Linked DNA regions of Saccharomyces cerevisiae S288C. The gene in region 1 interacts genetically with each later gene. Each region holds a gene or a part of one and is shown on either strand. Other genes may lie near its edges.

Region 1 (7,511 bases):
GAATAATAAATCTCGCTAGAAAATGCACGGAATATTATATGCAAAAGTAGAAAAGTGGAAGACGGCTGTTGATACAGTGACGAGATATAAGAACATTTTACTCTATATTTAAAAAGAACTTTATTAATCTATTTAATTGAGTTAACACCTTTAATGCCATCGATATGGATTCTCGAGTTGCACTGGTACGAAAATACATAGCACCATCGGTGATAAAAAGCGATTCTATTCAATTGCACGGTTTAGTGAAGGCACCACTATTTAAAGCGTTGAATAGCCGTTACAAATTAGGTTCACTACAGATAGTACAGGATGTCGATTGGAATGCGAAGACAACACCATCCGATTCTCCAGAGCCTCTGGCCGCTACTCTAAACTCTAATCGATCCCTACCAATGACTAAGTTCCCCAAGCAGGAGATCTTGGAACAGGTAAAATTGGATACTAAGGTTGGCAAATGGAGGAAATTCATGACAGGTTGGTTTAGAATTGGATTGTATCTTTTAAAAAGCTATAAAACAGGAATTCAGAACACGTTAAAAGTATTCTGGGATACTCGAAACGAAGAGCAGAAATTCAGCATAAAAAACGGTGCATTGGCTAACTTAGTACGGGAAATAGAAATGCATGAAATCAATACAAGACTATCGTCTTCATCATTGCCTACAAGTTCTTCAGCAAAAGCCCCATTAAGGCCACTTTCAATCAATAGGAAAACACTGGTGGAACTGATCAGACGAGATCAAATCTGGAAATTACCTGTATTTTTCACCTTAGTATTCATATTTGAGGAGGTAAGTGTATTGATCTTTACCTTTTTTCCACGTGTCTGTCCGTACAATTGTTTAACTCCTGGTGGATACAAGAAGCTTTCCAACTCATATATCAAGGGAACAACAAGCACACAAGGTAACTACGGTCTGGGTCCCTTAGAGTTTACTAAGCAAGGTACAATTAAGTATGAGCCACCATATGCAGTTCCTATTGAGAATTTGTATAATTTTCTGACAAGCTTTCCTCAAAGTATGATATCAAACTGGAAACTGTATATTTATAAAAAGTTAAAATTACAGAAGCTACTTTGCAATGAGATAGAAAAAATTTACCAGTATCTGTTTATCGATGACTGGTTGCTGTTGCAGAGTATACTCAACACTGATGTTGAGAAAACTAAAATCGCGCTAAGTGATAGAGAATTGGTTAACTGTATACTTGAAAGAAAACTTTATCACATGGGCGATGACTTGAATGAGATGGTTAATGACACGTTAGGGAAAGAAATCTTACTGAAAAGATTGTTTCTTTATTGGACATTAAGATATAATGACACTATATCCTTAAACGGAAAGCATACATTCAGTGAGAAATGGGGTGTCAACAATATATCATTGTTAAAATATAATTCAGAATTGGTAGCTACGAAAGATATTCAATAGATGTAAATATTCATGACATTATCTATGCTGTACATATTGTTTAAAACAAAAACTCTTTTAAACTTTTCTAATTGCAAATTCAAACAATAATTCAGTGATGTTTCTTGCTTTTGGAGCAAAGGGCAATGTTACTCTATATTGTATGTATAATATGATAGATACTCTTCCGTATATATAGTATATAGATTTTCGTCAAGCGTTTCAATTGGAAAGTGAAAGAAAAAAATAAGAAAAAATAGAAAATACAATTAAATTAATCGAAAAAAGAAGTGAAAATAATTGAGTAGTTCGTATTAAACCTTGTAGGTCTCTAAGTGAGCATTTTCCTCCCTAACCAATGTATGGTGATGGCCAGGCGCTCTAATAACTTTATTTTTTGAATCCATGGTACAGGCAGCAATGGCGGCAAACCATTCATCATTAAAAATATCATCTAAGGTTGCTCTTTTCTTTGGATCTACTTGCAGTATACGGGACATGATAGGTCTTGAAGCATGTGGTAGTAGACGTAATAGACGGTATGGGCCATGAATAATTTTTTTATGGTGAGGTCCTCTGTGCTGTTGACTCGATTTATTATCGGAAGCGATACTATGGGCCTTGTCTTGATTTTGATGCTGGTGATGATGGTGTTGTTGTTGTTGTTGTTGTTGTTGTTGTTGTTGTTGTTGTTGTTGTTGTTGTTGTTGTTGTGGATTGTTTTGGGGAACCATATCAGGGTTAGCGTTGGCAGCAGTGTTGACGTTAGTATCAACTTTAGCGTTACAATCCGATTCATTGCTGCAGTCATTGTTAGCATTACAATCCGTTTTGTCATTGCAGTCACTGTTAGCCTTGCAATCCACTCTGCCGTTAGAGTCACCATTAGCATCGCAATCAGCGTCGGCATCGGCATCTACTTTCTTTGGGTTAGCTGAAACTACCGTGCTTTTATTCTCATTTTTGCTTATTTTAATATCGATGGTACTTTCCTTGTCATTATCTGGCGTGCTTTCTTTATCATTATTGCTATCATCTTCTTTATTTTCTTCGGTTTCTTCTTCCACAATGTCTGGTTTGTTATCGCTTTTACCCTGTATAGATGCTGGAGTATTTGGAACTTGATTTTGAACTGTTTTCAAGTTTGATTCATGAGCTGGTTGTTGCTGATTGATGGCGGAACAGTCACTGTGATTCAAAAACCTTTGACGCTTTTCTTTTCTTTCCTTCAGTAACTCTTCGTGATGCCTGGCAGATTCAACATAGTCGTGTTCTATATCATCCGGCATACAATATAATCTAAAATTATCGTCAGAATCTCTAGGGGCTTTCCATGGAAACCTTTTAAGCACCATACAACAATATATGATCCCAATAGACCATATATCGACGCACTGAGGATCATAAGATTTGGTGGAGGTAATCACTTCCGGCGCTAAGTAAGGGTCACTACCCACGATTCCATGAGCCATCGTTACGCCATCTTCAAAAGGATATCTGAACACAACAGCACTACCAAAATCAATTAATTTCAAAATACCCTGGGAAGTCATGACACAATTATCCAATTTCAAATCTCTATGTGCCAATCCCATAGAATGTAAATATTTAACACCTTCAGTCAATTGCTTCAAGCAACAGTTGATCTCGCCACGAGACATCTTGCCTGTCATAACAACAGCAAAAAAATCAATCGGACAGTACTCCATAACTTCATAGTATTTATTTTGTTTAGAATCAGAGAAAACGTCAACAGTTTCGATAACATTTGGGTGATGTAAAGTCGAACCAATACAAAATTCTGCGGTGCACTTCTTGGCATATTCTTTCACACTCTCATTCGGTTTCCTTGGTCTGAATTCTTTGACGGCAAAAGTAGCACCATCAGTTGGTCTCACAAGAACTTTAACGGACCCACCGGCACCGGAACCCAATAACTTACCCAATTTCCCGTATTTTTGAGCCAGAATACAATCATCGTGATATATATTAATATTATTGGACAAAGATAGGATAGAATCGGTACTTGGCGGTATAGCAGACTGGGTATGAGCATAGTGGTCTGTAAAGCCATGAGGATGCTGGGCACGATAGTGATTATTTAAATTAACTGTAGAAGTTGATTTTGAAGGTGGGGGGGAATGGGTGCTATGTTTCTTGGAACGAAGTTGAGACATAGATAGTTTTTTATTTACAGAAGGTCTGAAAAACCTTTTCAATTCTGCCATGGAGTGGGTTTGTTTTGGAGAGGCGGGAGAAGTATAGTCATGGAGCCCATGAGAAATATTATGGTGGTGGTTTGTTTCATAGTTATTATTGTAGTTGTTTGTTGAGATACTGGTTGCATTAGAATGGCTATGGGTGTTGTTATTAAGGTTTGTTGTAGTATAATTTGTAGTGGTTGTGGTAGATTTCATGGAATCTGTAGATTTCTCGCTTCTTAGTGAGTCATTACTTTGTTTTCTACCAATGAAGTTTAAGAAAGATTTAGAACTTCTGATCAACTGTGGCGGGTTATTAGACGAATTTTCACGGTCATGATGATGGTCATTATGATGACCATGGAATGGGTTTCTCGACAATAGATTAGGCATCTTTATACGAGAAATAGTTCTACCGTATTATTATAATTATTAGTGTTATTATTTTTGTTTTCGATCAATTCTAGCGGAGCTACAATGTGGTAGTCAAACGCTGCTATTGTATTTAATTCCGGCTCGAGACCAGTCTGGAAAGTCGACGTATATCGTTACTACTATCCTTTTTTTATTATTCCTACTATTTCCTTATTGAAAAAGTGGAAAACTGTTAAATCTGGAAATTCTTCACGATTCTAGAAAAATAGGAGGTGAAGAAGATTTCTAAGCTTTTTGAAAAAAACGGGAAAAGGAAGAGGCCCAAAAAAGTGAAAAAAAACTGTGTGTGTGAAATGTAAACGAACTTTGCTCCCTCTAGGAAAAACTTCTTTAAGCGGTTGGGAACTGTCTTGGGCTTACTTGTTTGTAAACAGTTGTATGAATGATTCTATATGCTAATTCTCAGTTTGTCTCTCTTAAAGATTTGTCACTCTGAAATATATAGCCAAATAGAACTAGGCGAAGAAAAAGAAAAGGGGCGGCGACGACGTAGGGGTCAGGTAGAAGAGTTGGGCACTTATTGGCGATATAAAAGACAAAATACACTAATGCAAGAGTATGGTGAGCGAAAGGAAAATAAAGAAAGGCTACGTTATTGACGGATATATGAATCAAGACACAAGACTATTTTGTATAGTAAGCAGAACCGGCTTGTGTTTGTGATTCATGGATCAACGAGACGGTAGCGAATAAGCACCAACGGAAAAAAAGAAAACATACGCATACATGCACGTACAAGATAAAAAAAGCACAGGTGTGGTGGTAGTATTGGGATAACCAGGCACACGCTACTGCGAGATAGCAAAAGACCCTTCCCGTAAACCGCTCGGATAAACCGATTTTGTCCTTTAGCGTGACACGGATTATACGCGGGGATCCGGCGTCACAAGCCACGGCCCGTCCCGTCCGCGTGGTTTTTAATTCTGGCTCCGCGTAGTACATTTTGTAGCTTGCCTTTTTTCCGGCTTCTAGAAAACTGGAAAAACCATAAGAAAAAAATGGGAAGGGGAAAACAAAAACCATTCAGGTCTTGCGTGCCGAGAATTTTTTTTTTCTCTTTTTCGTTGTCAACTTTTGCAGTAGCAGCCGCTGGCGACCCGGACGGTAGCCATGGCAACGGTTAGCTAATGGTAGGTAAATAAAACGAGTAACGACGTTTTAGTATATCTTGGTAAACTACAATTAGATCTTAAAACGGTTCCTGAAAAAGTGCTTTCATCTACCATTGAATTTAATTCACTTCCCTTTATGGAATTTGCACTGGTTTTGTGCTGTGGGATGTGGGTGTTTTGAAATATTTTCAGCTTGCAAGTCGTGCATATTGCACTTGTTTCTTATTTTTGGCGAGTGTAAACGTAATAGGTAATCTTAGTATTGGGCCATCGTCGCCCAGATAGCCATTGATAAAGCAGCTAGGTTCGTCGTCCGGTTGTTGGTATACACCTGTGCGTGCGTAAGTGTAGAAAAAAATAGAAATGACTAACTGGCAGCAACAGCTTCCTTTAACAGATACACAGAAAAATGAACTCGATAAAAGTGTCCTCCGATATTTGAATTGGAATTACAAACAAACTGTACGACATGAGCATGCTCAAGATTACGAAAGTGTTCGACATGCAATTGTAACTCTATCAGGTTTTCTGTTGCAAGAATCAGTGGACCGGCAAGAATTCATCAGTAACAATGACACCAGTAACGAAAGTATGGTAGACATTGATGAATTACTGCTACCGAAGAAGTGGAACTCAATTGTTAGACTACAAAAAAAAATCATTGAATTGGAGCAGAATACAGAGACCCTTGTATCTCAGATTAAAGATTTGAACACTCAAGTGTCAGAACTAGCACAATTCAAACCTACCACCAGTAACGGCACCAGCGCACATAATGTTTTGAAATGGATACCGAGAAATCTACCAAGCTGTTTAATTAATGTTGAATCATCTGTCACTTCCGTCAAACTACATCCCAATTTGCCTATAGTGTTTGTGGCCACAGATCATGGCAAATTATACGCATTTGATTTATTTAACTACACCATCCCTCTGGCATCCTTGCAAAGTCATACCAAGGCAATTACCTCCATGGATGTTTTATTTACCAATTATACGAACTCCAGCAAGAAGAACTATTTGGTGATCGTTACCGCGTCTAAAGATTTGCAGATTCATGTTTTCAAGTGGGTCTCCGAGGAATGCAAGTTCCAACAAATTAGGTCTTTATTGGGCCATGAGCATATTGTCTCTGCGGTAAAAATCTGGCAGAAAAATAATGATGTCCATATAGCGTCCTGTTCCAGAGATCAAACTGTTAAAATTTGGGACTTCCACAATGGTTGGTCGTTGAAAACATTTCAGCCTCATTCCCAATGGGTTCGTTCCATAGACGTTCTAGGCGATTACATCATCTCTGGTTCACATGACACTACATTAAGGTTAACACATTGGCCATCAGGTAATGGTCTTAGTGTTGGCACGGGTCATGAATTTCCCATAGAGAAAGTTAAATTTATTCATTTCATCGAAGACTCTCCGGAGATAAGGTTTAGAACACCATCAACGGATCGATATAAGAATTGGGGGATGCAATATTGTGTCTCAGCGTCAAGAGATAGAACGATAAAAATCTGGGAGATACCTCTACCTACGTTAATGGCCCATAGAGCACCCATACCGAATCCTACAGATTCAAATTTCAGATGTGTTCTTACGTTGAAGGGGCATCTTTCGTGGGTTAGAGATATTAGTATTCGAGGCCAATACTTGTTTTCTTGTGCTGATGATAAATCTGTCAGATGTTGGGATCTGAACACGGGGCAGTGCTTACACGTTTGGGAAAAGTTGCATACAGGATTTGTCAACTGTTTAGACCTGGATGTGGATTTCGATTCTAACGTTACCCCAAGGCAAATGATGGTCACTGGTGGATTGGATTGCAAGTCTAACGTTTTCATGAGATAAGTTTGGCTTTCCTATTTCTTTTTCCCTTTTTTTTGACTCTTTTTAAGCATTGGTTGATACTTTAAATACTTTATTGAATTAGCATTGATAGTATATAATAAGGTTTACTCACTATATAGTAGCATCATTTATTATTTAATGAAGTACTTAAATGTTTCGCTTTTTTTAAAAGTCCTCAAAATTTAGCTTGAAGCGGAAGAGCTTGCACTAGCAACAGCGACTTCCATGTCTTTATACTCAAATGCGAATGGTTCGTATGGTAAACCTTCACCCACGAAAAACTTGGACATAGATTCAACCCAGTGCAAACGTAAGGAATGAAGCATGGCAGATGTACCTTCCATCAAAACAAGAACTGCACATGTTAGTGCGAACCACATGGCAAAAAGTGCAACCGTCATAAACACACCCACAAATCCTCTAAATCCAAAGGCAATTTGAATTGTCATTGTCCATAAAACACTAGACAATTGAGCATGTGCCAATGATAAGGCCCATAA
Region 2 (8,382 bases), on another chromosome or scaffold:
ATTCTTGTACGAATACTACCTGGAAATATGGGGTAATACCTGCGCTGTTGTAAAATATGCTCAGAAACACGATCTAATCTATATCTTGATGAGGTAGTACCGCCTTTTATGACTTCCTTTAGATCTTTGAATGTATCAACGTTTGAGCAACCGAAGTATATCTCATTTATTTGAAAAGATGAAGGATTAGCCATGCATTTGAAGTTCCTTTTAGGCAGCTGTAAAGCCTTTCTAATTAAAGAAGCTTGTGGATATGCGGCGTGATTAGAAATTGCATCTTTTGTGGAGGGTATCAATACGGTTTGGATATGTGGTGATATGGTTTTTAGAATAGGAGTAAATAACTTCAAAAAAAGCTCGTCCAATGTTTTGGGCTGTGTCTTGAACTGGGGAAAATTTGGCAATTTACCACTCGCTATCAGAGGATGGGTGATATCTATAAATGGGCCAAACATTATCAAGACGTGAGGTTTTACCTCATTATTTATACTATCGATAAATTCTTGCAACAATTCGAGGGAGAAGTTATCATTTGCAAAGTATGGGCCACAGGTCACGATAACCTTCAAAGAAGAACCTTCCAAATTTGCTTGAAACTCCTGCAGTTCCTGCGATGTGGACACTGGGGAGTTTGGATAAGGTAGCGGCAAAATAGAGTTAACGGTGAAGTAATCCCCATTAGCATTTTTACCTTTGAATGCCACAATTTGGCCTAAGAAAAACGAAAGCTCGTTGACCTGCGATAGATCTAACCTTACCCTTCTTCCAACGCCGCCCATTCTTGAGGTCTCTAGGGAAAGCGATTCTGGATTCAAAAACTTGTCGTAGGTCGGCGAATCTGGAACTATCCTTCCAACAGCATAAATTTCGGACTGAGATTGAATAGTTGGATCAGCGAAGTCGTTTGGAGATAACTTATAGTGATTTTGAATAATCTTAGTAAACGATTCAATTTGATCATCGAGGACATCAGACGCTTCCTGTAAGTTTTGCCTCATTGTTCTGAATTTATACTTTTTAGCATCATAAAATGGTTCTACTTTGACCTGGTTATATGATGGTTCTTCAGTCGAAAGAAGGCCTACATTTGGATTACCAGATGATATTTCAATATTTTCAGGGTTCAAAGAATCCAAAATTTCACCAGCAGGAACATTTTGCCTCGATGTGGTAGGAGTGTTTGTTGTTGGAGTTTGGAATGTCGACGAGCCGGGAGTCTTGGCATCCGAGCTTTTAGCGTGGGACAATGGAGCACTGTCACCCACAGCATCTTCTGCCATGCCTGGAGTAAACTCCAATTTTAAAGAACTATTTCCTTTTTCATTTGTTTCTGCCTCAGAGCCTACATTATATGTTTGCTTGGAATCACTGAGTGAAAAGGGACCATGTAACTTTCTTTTTTTTAAAGTCGGAGTCTTTGGAATACTAAGGCCAAACAAGGGACTTGAATTCAAACTTTTTTTAATCACTGGTTTTTTTGTGGATGTGTTTACCTTAGAGGACGATGAAATTTGGTTAGCACGCTTTTCCATTTGTAATTGTAAAAATTGTTTAAACTCATCTATGTTCTTGGAAGTCAGATCTGTGTGAGTTTGACGCCTTTGATTGGAGAACTGCTCCCATTTAATGTATAGATCCTCGACGGACAATGCATGCAGTTTAGTTAAATTCTCTAATGCAGTGATGATTTCCGGCTTGTCTGCATCAGGCCCAAAATGAGTGATGACATCGATAGATCCGCTCATTTTTTTTTTTTTCAGTCACTTGCTCCTGCCTAAATTTACCTTCAAGCTTTGTTGAACCAATTGACAATCAATTATCTTGATATTTTTATATGCAAATATATTATGTATATGAAACAAAATGTTATATGTGTCTACAAAGAGCTCATATTATTACAGTTTTAGAAAAGAGAAAGAACTAAGAAACTCTGGTGAGACGCGTCACGGTAAAAAAAAATTACGCGTCTACCACGCTATTCTCTATTCGTTTGAGGCGATGAACATGATCATTTTAAAGACATTCTTAGGCAAACAATCGAATAATCGTTCGGTTTCTTGCTCAGTATAATCTGGAGTAGTTTGGAGGACTCTCAAACAACGAGCTAATACCACGGCACTGGTGAAGTTCCACGAAGTATTATCAGTCCCCATAATGAAATAGCTCATTGTTTGGATAATCTCTGATATATTAGATTTCTTGAATTGTTGGCAAATGGTAGGAGATTGCAGCATCTTCCATAAGGTCTCAATTAAAAATGTTTCTTTCACACCAGCGGTGTCAGGCTGAATTTCAGTAACCAACATGCTTAGAATTCTTGTTGCCGAATGTTTTTTGAAAAAGTGCGATAACATTAGACTGTCCCTGAACTCTTGCGCTAATTTATAGATTTCGTTTCCATAATCAGAAAATTTATTAAGCATTAAAAGGATCTGTTCCCATACTTCTTCGAAACACATTCTCACCGAAACGCCATCATCGTCGGCATTCTCGCTTAGTGTATTTAGAAACTTTTTCCAAACCAAAAGACAATGAACGAGAATTATGGACTTACTGGATATTTTTGATGGAATTGAAGGCGTGTCATCAGTAGATTTCAAAAGCATAATAGCAACATCCAGTAGTTCATCAAAACCATTTTCATTCGTCAACCAATCGGTCATTTTTTGATTTTGAAAACAAGTAATCAAGGGTTCGATCAGGTAATTTATATGTTTCATAGTGAACGATCCACTTTTTATCCTGTTTATTGCCTTTGACATGTGATTGAAATAGACATCAAAATCCATCAAAGTGTTGCCATTAGAATCAACCATTAAAAGATGACTAATTTCATATACAGTCAAGGAATCCCTTGGGAAATTATCCATGATAAGCAAATGCATCTTCTCTGATTTTTTGTTATTAACTAGTTTCATCTTTTTGGAGTTTATGTCTTGTTCAGTTAGTGCTACGTCTCTTTCTCTCTTTACTGTGATCCTTTGCTTTTGACCCATATTCTCGTCCCCGTTTATTTTGATTGGTGACATTGTTTCCAAATCAGGCTTTTCATTCTCATTCCCATTTCCAATAAGTTTTTCTGGCTCATTTATTATCTTTGGAGGATCTGTACTGAATTTTACTGTTGGTTCATTATCGTCCTTCAATTTCCTTTCGGTATTTTCACCACTGTTTTGAAAAATTTCACTTAAATTCAAATCAGATTTTTGAGAATTTTCCATATCTATATCATCTTCCTCCTTTGCTGGGTTTGGCTGGTCCAGTTGATAAACACTTACTATTTTCGTCATTTCTGAAAGCTTTTTATCTTTGTCATTATCATCATGAATAACTACGCTGTCTGTGCTTGATGTTCTTTTTCCAACGTTATTCTTCAACTCTAGTGTTTTATCAGTTTCCAAGTTTTTGAAGGGATTAATCATTGTCATTTCCATGCATTTCTTAACATCATTTTCGTCTACAGCATCGTCGGATTCCTCATCCCCTTCAGATTTTTTATTGTCGATGGGAGTGAAGCTTACAGAACTTTCTCTAGAAATGATGTCTTCTACCTTAAAGTTGGCATCCTTCTTTTCAAGTTCATGACAGATTTTCATCTTGGTAGATACAATGTCAAAATCAGCTAGCAATTTATTAAAACGATTATTATCGAATTTATAAATTTCAAAAATTAGATTGAAATAACATGTGTAGTCAAACTCTTTACCGTAGATTTGAAAGAGTATCATTGATATTTTAGGCATGAGATCGTTCGTTCCTGACCTCAGAGTGTTATCATGTTTTATGTTCAAGTTACGGAAAATCTCTAAAAGTAACTTGAAATTATAATTGAAAAAAGTGGTTTTGTATTTCATATAGTATAGTTTGAAATCATTCGGACAATTATTGGCATTCAAGAAATTGAATAAATCCGCGATAGTTATAATCAAGTTAGTAAGCTCGTAGGGCTTTTCAGGATTCATTCTATTCTTTAAGATTTCCGCGTAATCAAAACTATTAATAGAATATAGCTCAATGAGGTAATTTAAGGGAACTCCATTTGTAAACTTCTCTATACTCAAAAATGGCTTGAAATCATTTGGTGACTTTATCATAATTTGGCGTAGCTTTTTCATAATCATGGGAAATTCAAATTTTGGGGCTGATGATGACTGTTGCGATGTCAACAGTAACTCCTTTTGTAAATACTGTAAAGCATCTTTGATCTGAGCTGGAAACGAAGCATCATTGAATTTTTTGTAAAGGGTTTCATATTCACCAAGTTTATTACTGCCTTTTAATGAGATTGGAGAAGATGACATCGAAACATCATTTTTATCCATATATTTCTTTATCAACGGGTTAGAGTAACTATTTGATAACTCATCAGTCAAGTCGATTTGGTTTGACGGAAAGTCATCAAAATTTGTGTAATTTTCAGATACTTTTGTGGCGGCAGTAGAAGAAGGAGGGGCACTAACTTTTCTTTTAGTAACATTATTATTATCTTTGGTGTTGCTGTTTGAAACAGAGTTCATACTGTCATGATGCCTTGCCCTTTTTTCATTTTCTTTACTTGAATATTCACTAGTAGACCTTAAGTTTGTTTTCAGCTTATTTGATAGTTTACTGGCTATGACACTTCCACCAGCTGTGACTGCAGGAGCGTTGAGTAGGGAGGTGGAGGAAGATTGAGTCGGTTGGGCATAACTTGGATAGTTCCTTTTCTGCTCCAGTAAACTGGTTTTTCTTGAAGAATTATTCGAAGAGTGAGAGTACAATCGAGACGTTGCAGAGGAGGCGGAGGCAGTAGAGGACACCCTGGAAACTTGATAGTTTATATTCAAATGAGCAGGGATTGCCAATTCTGTTGCTTTTTTCAACTGTGGAGAAAAGGAAGAACTCAATAATCTTTTGGCATTTGTAGGATAACATTTGTAGAAATACCAAAAAGTTAACCTCATTGCCTCTCTAACGGTTGTCTGTGAATCTGAAATGCCCTTTTTTAGCCATTCTTCGATGTATATGATGTTATTCTCCAACTTTGAGGTTGGCGAAGTTGTATTTGAATTGTTGAGCGAAAGATTGGAGTCGTTGAACTTAATCAGGAAGCTACGCAGCAGTATTGCAGAGCAAAATCTCGGTGTTACGGTTTTCTCATTTATTAATAAAAAAGATAATTGGAATAGTTTATTATGGAAATGATTTATATCAATGATCAAAGTAATTAAACAATGAAATGCAGTTTGTGAAGAGATTTTCTTGGTAGATGATAACAAGTTCTTGAAAATGACAAATATTTGGTCCAATATTGATAGGGGCAACTGATCGTTTAGGATATGGATTAGCCTCTTGAGGAAAAGTAATGCAGTTAATGATAACGTTGTCCTCAACGACGAGGTAGCTCTTGAAATCAACTCAATCAACTGCACCTCCTTTATTACAGTGACAAATTCCTCTGGATTATCTTTGGGAATGTTGCCGGATATAATGTTGTCTAATTCAATTATATTTGATTGCCTTAGCTTCCAATTTTGTTCTGTTTCCTTTACACTTTGGAACGGTGCCAACAAATTCTCCAAGTCTTGTTGTAATTGGTTCAAAGACTCATAGTTTTTTTTCATCGCTGGGTCTTTACTGCTCAAGTTGTTTGATAACTGCGGCAATTTCGCTTCGGCTAATAGTAATTGAAACTCGTACTCTTCGTCAAACAAGGTCGATTTATCTTCTTGTGAACCATGCTGGTCCTGTGACTTTGCTAAACTTATGAATTTTTGCTTGAATTTCTCAACTTCTAAATCGTTAATAAATCCATCTATCAGATCCTGTGAATTTTCGTCATCCATTTTCAAATACTTGTACATTATATCGAAAATAAGCTCTATTATTACATTATTGTTATCATCGTTTGCGTGTTCATTTAGGTTGTTATTTAAAAGGTTGGTGAAAGACAGCATGAAAAACCTCAGTAGTTGCAAATGATTTGAATTATTTTTCTCGTTGATCTGGATCAACTCATCGATGGTCAATAATGTAGATTTTATCCTATTCAGGTAATCTCCGTTTTGGTTTTCACTTGGTCTTCGCAAGAAATTTGCTAGAATAGCTTGGATCTTCGATGGATTAACCAAATAAATGGCTTCAATGGCTTTAATGGAAGCCAGCCAAAATTTCTTCTCATTAGGCAACTCGAAAATTAAGTGGTTTAGTAATTGCTCAACTAGAGTGTCATTGAATTGTACTGGAGACTGCATGGCCACACGTTTGATAAGGTAACAAAGCGAGGAATGTGATAGGAAGATTAACCGCGGGTACGAACGGTAAGCGTAATGGCCGGAGATGAACAGTAACGCAGCGAAATAAGCTTGGATCGACGATTCGTTAACTAGTTCCTTTTTTACATGTCCTTTGAACCGTGTAAGCAGTGCCATTTTTTCCTCGATGGGTACAGACTCGTCCTTGAATACGGTATACAAAGGGAAGGAATCGTCTGGATGTGTATTAGTGTTGCTGTTATTATTGGTCTCATTGTTGAAGGACGACATTATTTCTGAAGAATACAAGGTCTCTCCAAAAACCCTAATAATTACCGCTAAATATGCCTGTCAATCGGATGAAGGGAAGTTTCAACCTCAAATGTAAATAAATAGATGTTTAGCGTTTTAGAATAAATAAGTAAATAATTTGATTTTCTATAAAGATGTTAATGCGCCAATACGCGCCGACGGGGTAACGCATTAAAATAACATGGTATTTTCGTTTCATTACAAAAAAAGCACTATATGTACTAATAATTATGCTACACTTGTGTTTATATTGCCAGCGTCGATGTTGATGACAACGCAGAGTTCATACGGTTTTGGTTTTGGGCTTCACTTGTCTCAGTAGGTTGAGGGTTTGTATGAAGTTTCAGAGGCTCCGTTAGTAAATGACCCATTCTTTCTATCTTGGTCCTGAGATAACCTTCTATCTCCTTGGAGTCTATGCCTTCACTGGAGTTTGTCCAGTGTATGGGTACCATAGGCACTCGTTCAACGCACTTAAGGTAAGGCGCATGATCTACCTGTTTTATCTTTTCCGGGTTATTTGTCAGCAGCCTGACATTACCGATGCCAAGATCCAGCAAAATAGCCTTACCCAGCGAGAAGTCCCTAGCATCCACGGGATGTTTCAGCATTAAGTTGGCCTGCACTGTGTCAGCACCTAAGTCTTGCAGGTTGTAGGCCTTGAGTTTCTCACCTAACCCGATGCCACGACCCTCTTGTCTTAGATACACGATAACACCATGGCCGTTTCCACCTTTGATGTTGCTTGTGGGTTCGTGGTCGCAAGCGATAAGCCTACCGGCCCTATCGAATTGTTCACCACAATCACAACGGGCGCTCCATGCGTTTTCACCGGTGTAACATTCAGAATGGATCCGTACCAGCGTGTCGTTATGGGCGTCCCATGTAGTGGCTTTGGAAGCTAATAACTCACCTGTACTATCATCAAACTCCAGAGCTAATCCGAGTCTATCGTCTTCGTCTGCCACAGTTCTGCCGGGATACAGTTTGCCAATATAAGCGCCCCTGATCATTCTATCTTGTTGCGTCTCGCACTGTCTTCTACGGAATAGCGAGCGCGACCGTATGTCTTCACCAAACACAATGGCTAGATGTTCCTTGTTGTCCCTGTTGTTACTGTAAAGATGTAAAAAGATATCCGGACCCTGTGTGGTTGGGATACGAGCTCTTGCGACACATTGTACTAGAGGCAAGCCGCCATCGCCGTTCCTGCCATCACCCGTACCACTAACCTCGTATTTGCTGCTATCCTGTTTACTGTTGTCGTAGTTATCTATGGTCATCCTGTAGGTTTGTTGTAGTTTTATGTACGCCACTTTTTGTAATGACTCAATTATTGTCCACGCCAGCACAGCAACTTCTTTATATATACTATAGCGGCGCTGGCGCTCACCCCACAAGAGCGTCCGACTAATTTCTGACAAATCGTAAAAAGAAAAAGAAAAACTCAAAGGAAAAAGAAAAAGTCTCACCCTACACAACTTGTTTTCAAAAACGGTATAGACCCTACTATTTCTGTTTTAGCCCTATGCTAAGTCTAGACATTACCCTATCCCTTTTAACGAAAGCCCTTTTGTTTTTTTTCTGTGTGTCCGGCCGCTCAGCCAAACAACAAACAAGACTATAATCTGGAGCATAAGTACCCGAGCATATATAACTACTTGGCATACGAAGTAAAAGCATATTGCTCCCCACTCCTATCGCGCGTCCCCTGTACAACAAAGCATCAACTTATCGGGTAACTTAGAGACAGCATTAGTATATATACCAGCCATGTCACAGTTCTTCGAAGCTGCTACTCCCGTTGCAATTCCCACAAACAATACCAACGGCGGCT

The links. A genetic interaction does not mean that the proteins touch.
Region 2: mutations in PAC1 (region 1) and STU1 together harm fitness more than expected from each alone (negative genetic interaction), as found in Saccharomyces cerevisiae (4 studies listed by BioGRID, with this or other methods).

The regions. Positions count from the first base shown.
Region 1 is NC_001147.6:820,859-828,369, forward strand, and holds PAC1 (Pac1p), read left to right. Parts: upstream 1-5,526; coding exon 5,527-7,011; downstream 7,012-7,511. Other genes in the region: PNT1 (Pnt1p), read left to right, coding at 165-1,436; putative serine/threonine protein kinase HRK1, read right to left, coding at 1,730-4,009; YOR268C (uncharacterized protein), read right to left, coding at 4,676-5,074; VPH1 (H(+)-transporting V0 sector ATPase subunit a), read right to left, coding at 7,194-7,511.
Region 2 is NC_001134.8:151,866-160,247, forward strand, and holds STU1 (Stu1p), read right to left. Parts: upstream 6,525-8,382; coding exon 1,983-6,524; downstream 1-1,982. Other genes in the region: DNA-directed DNA polymerase alpha subunit POL12, read right to left, coding at 1-1,745; RIB1 (GTP cyclohydrolase II), read right to left, coding at 6,791-7,828; HEK2 (Hek2p), read left to right, coding at 8,319-8,382.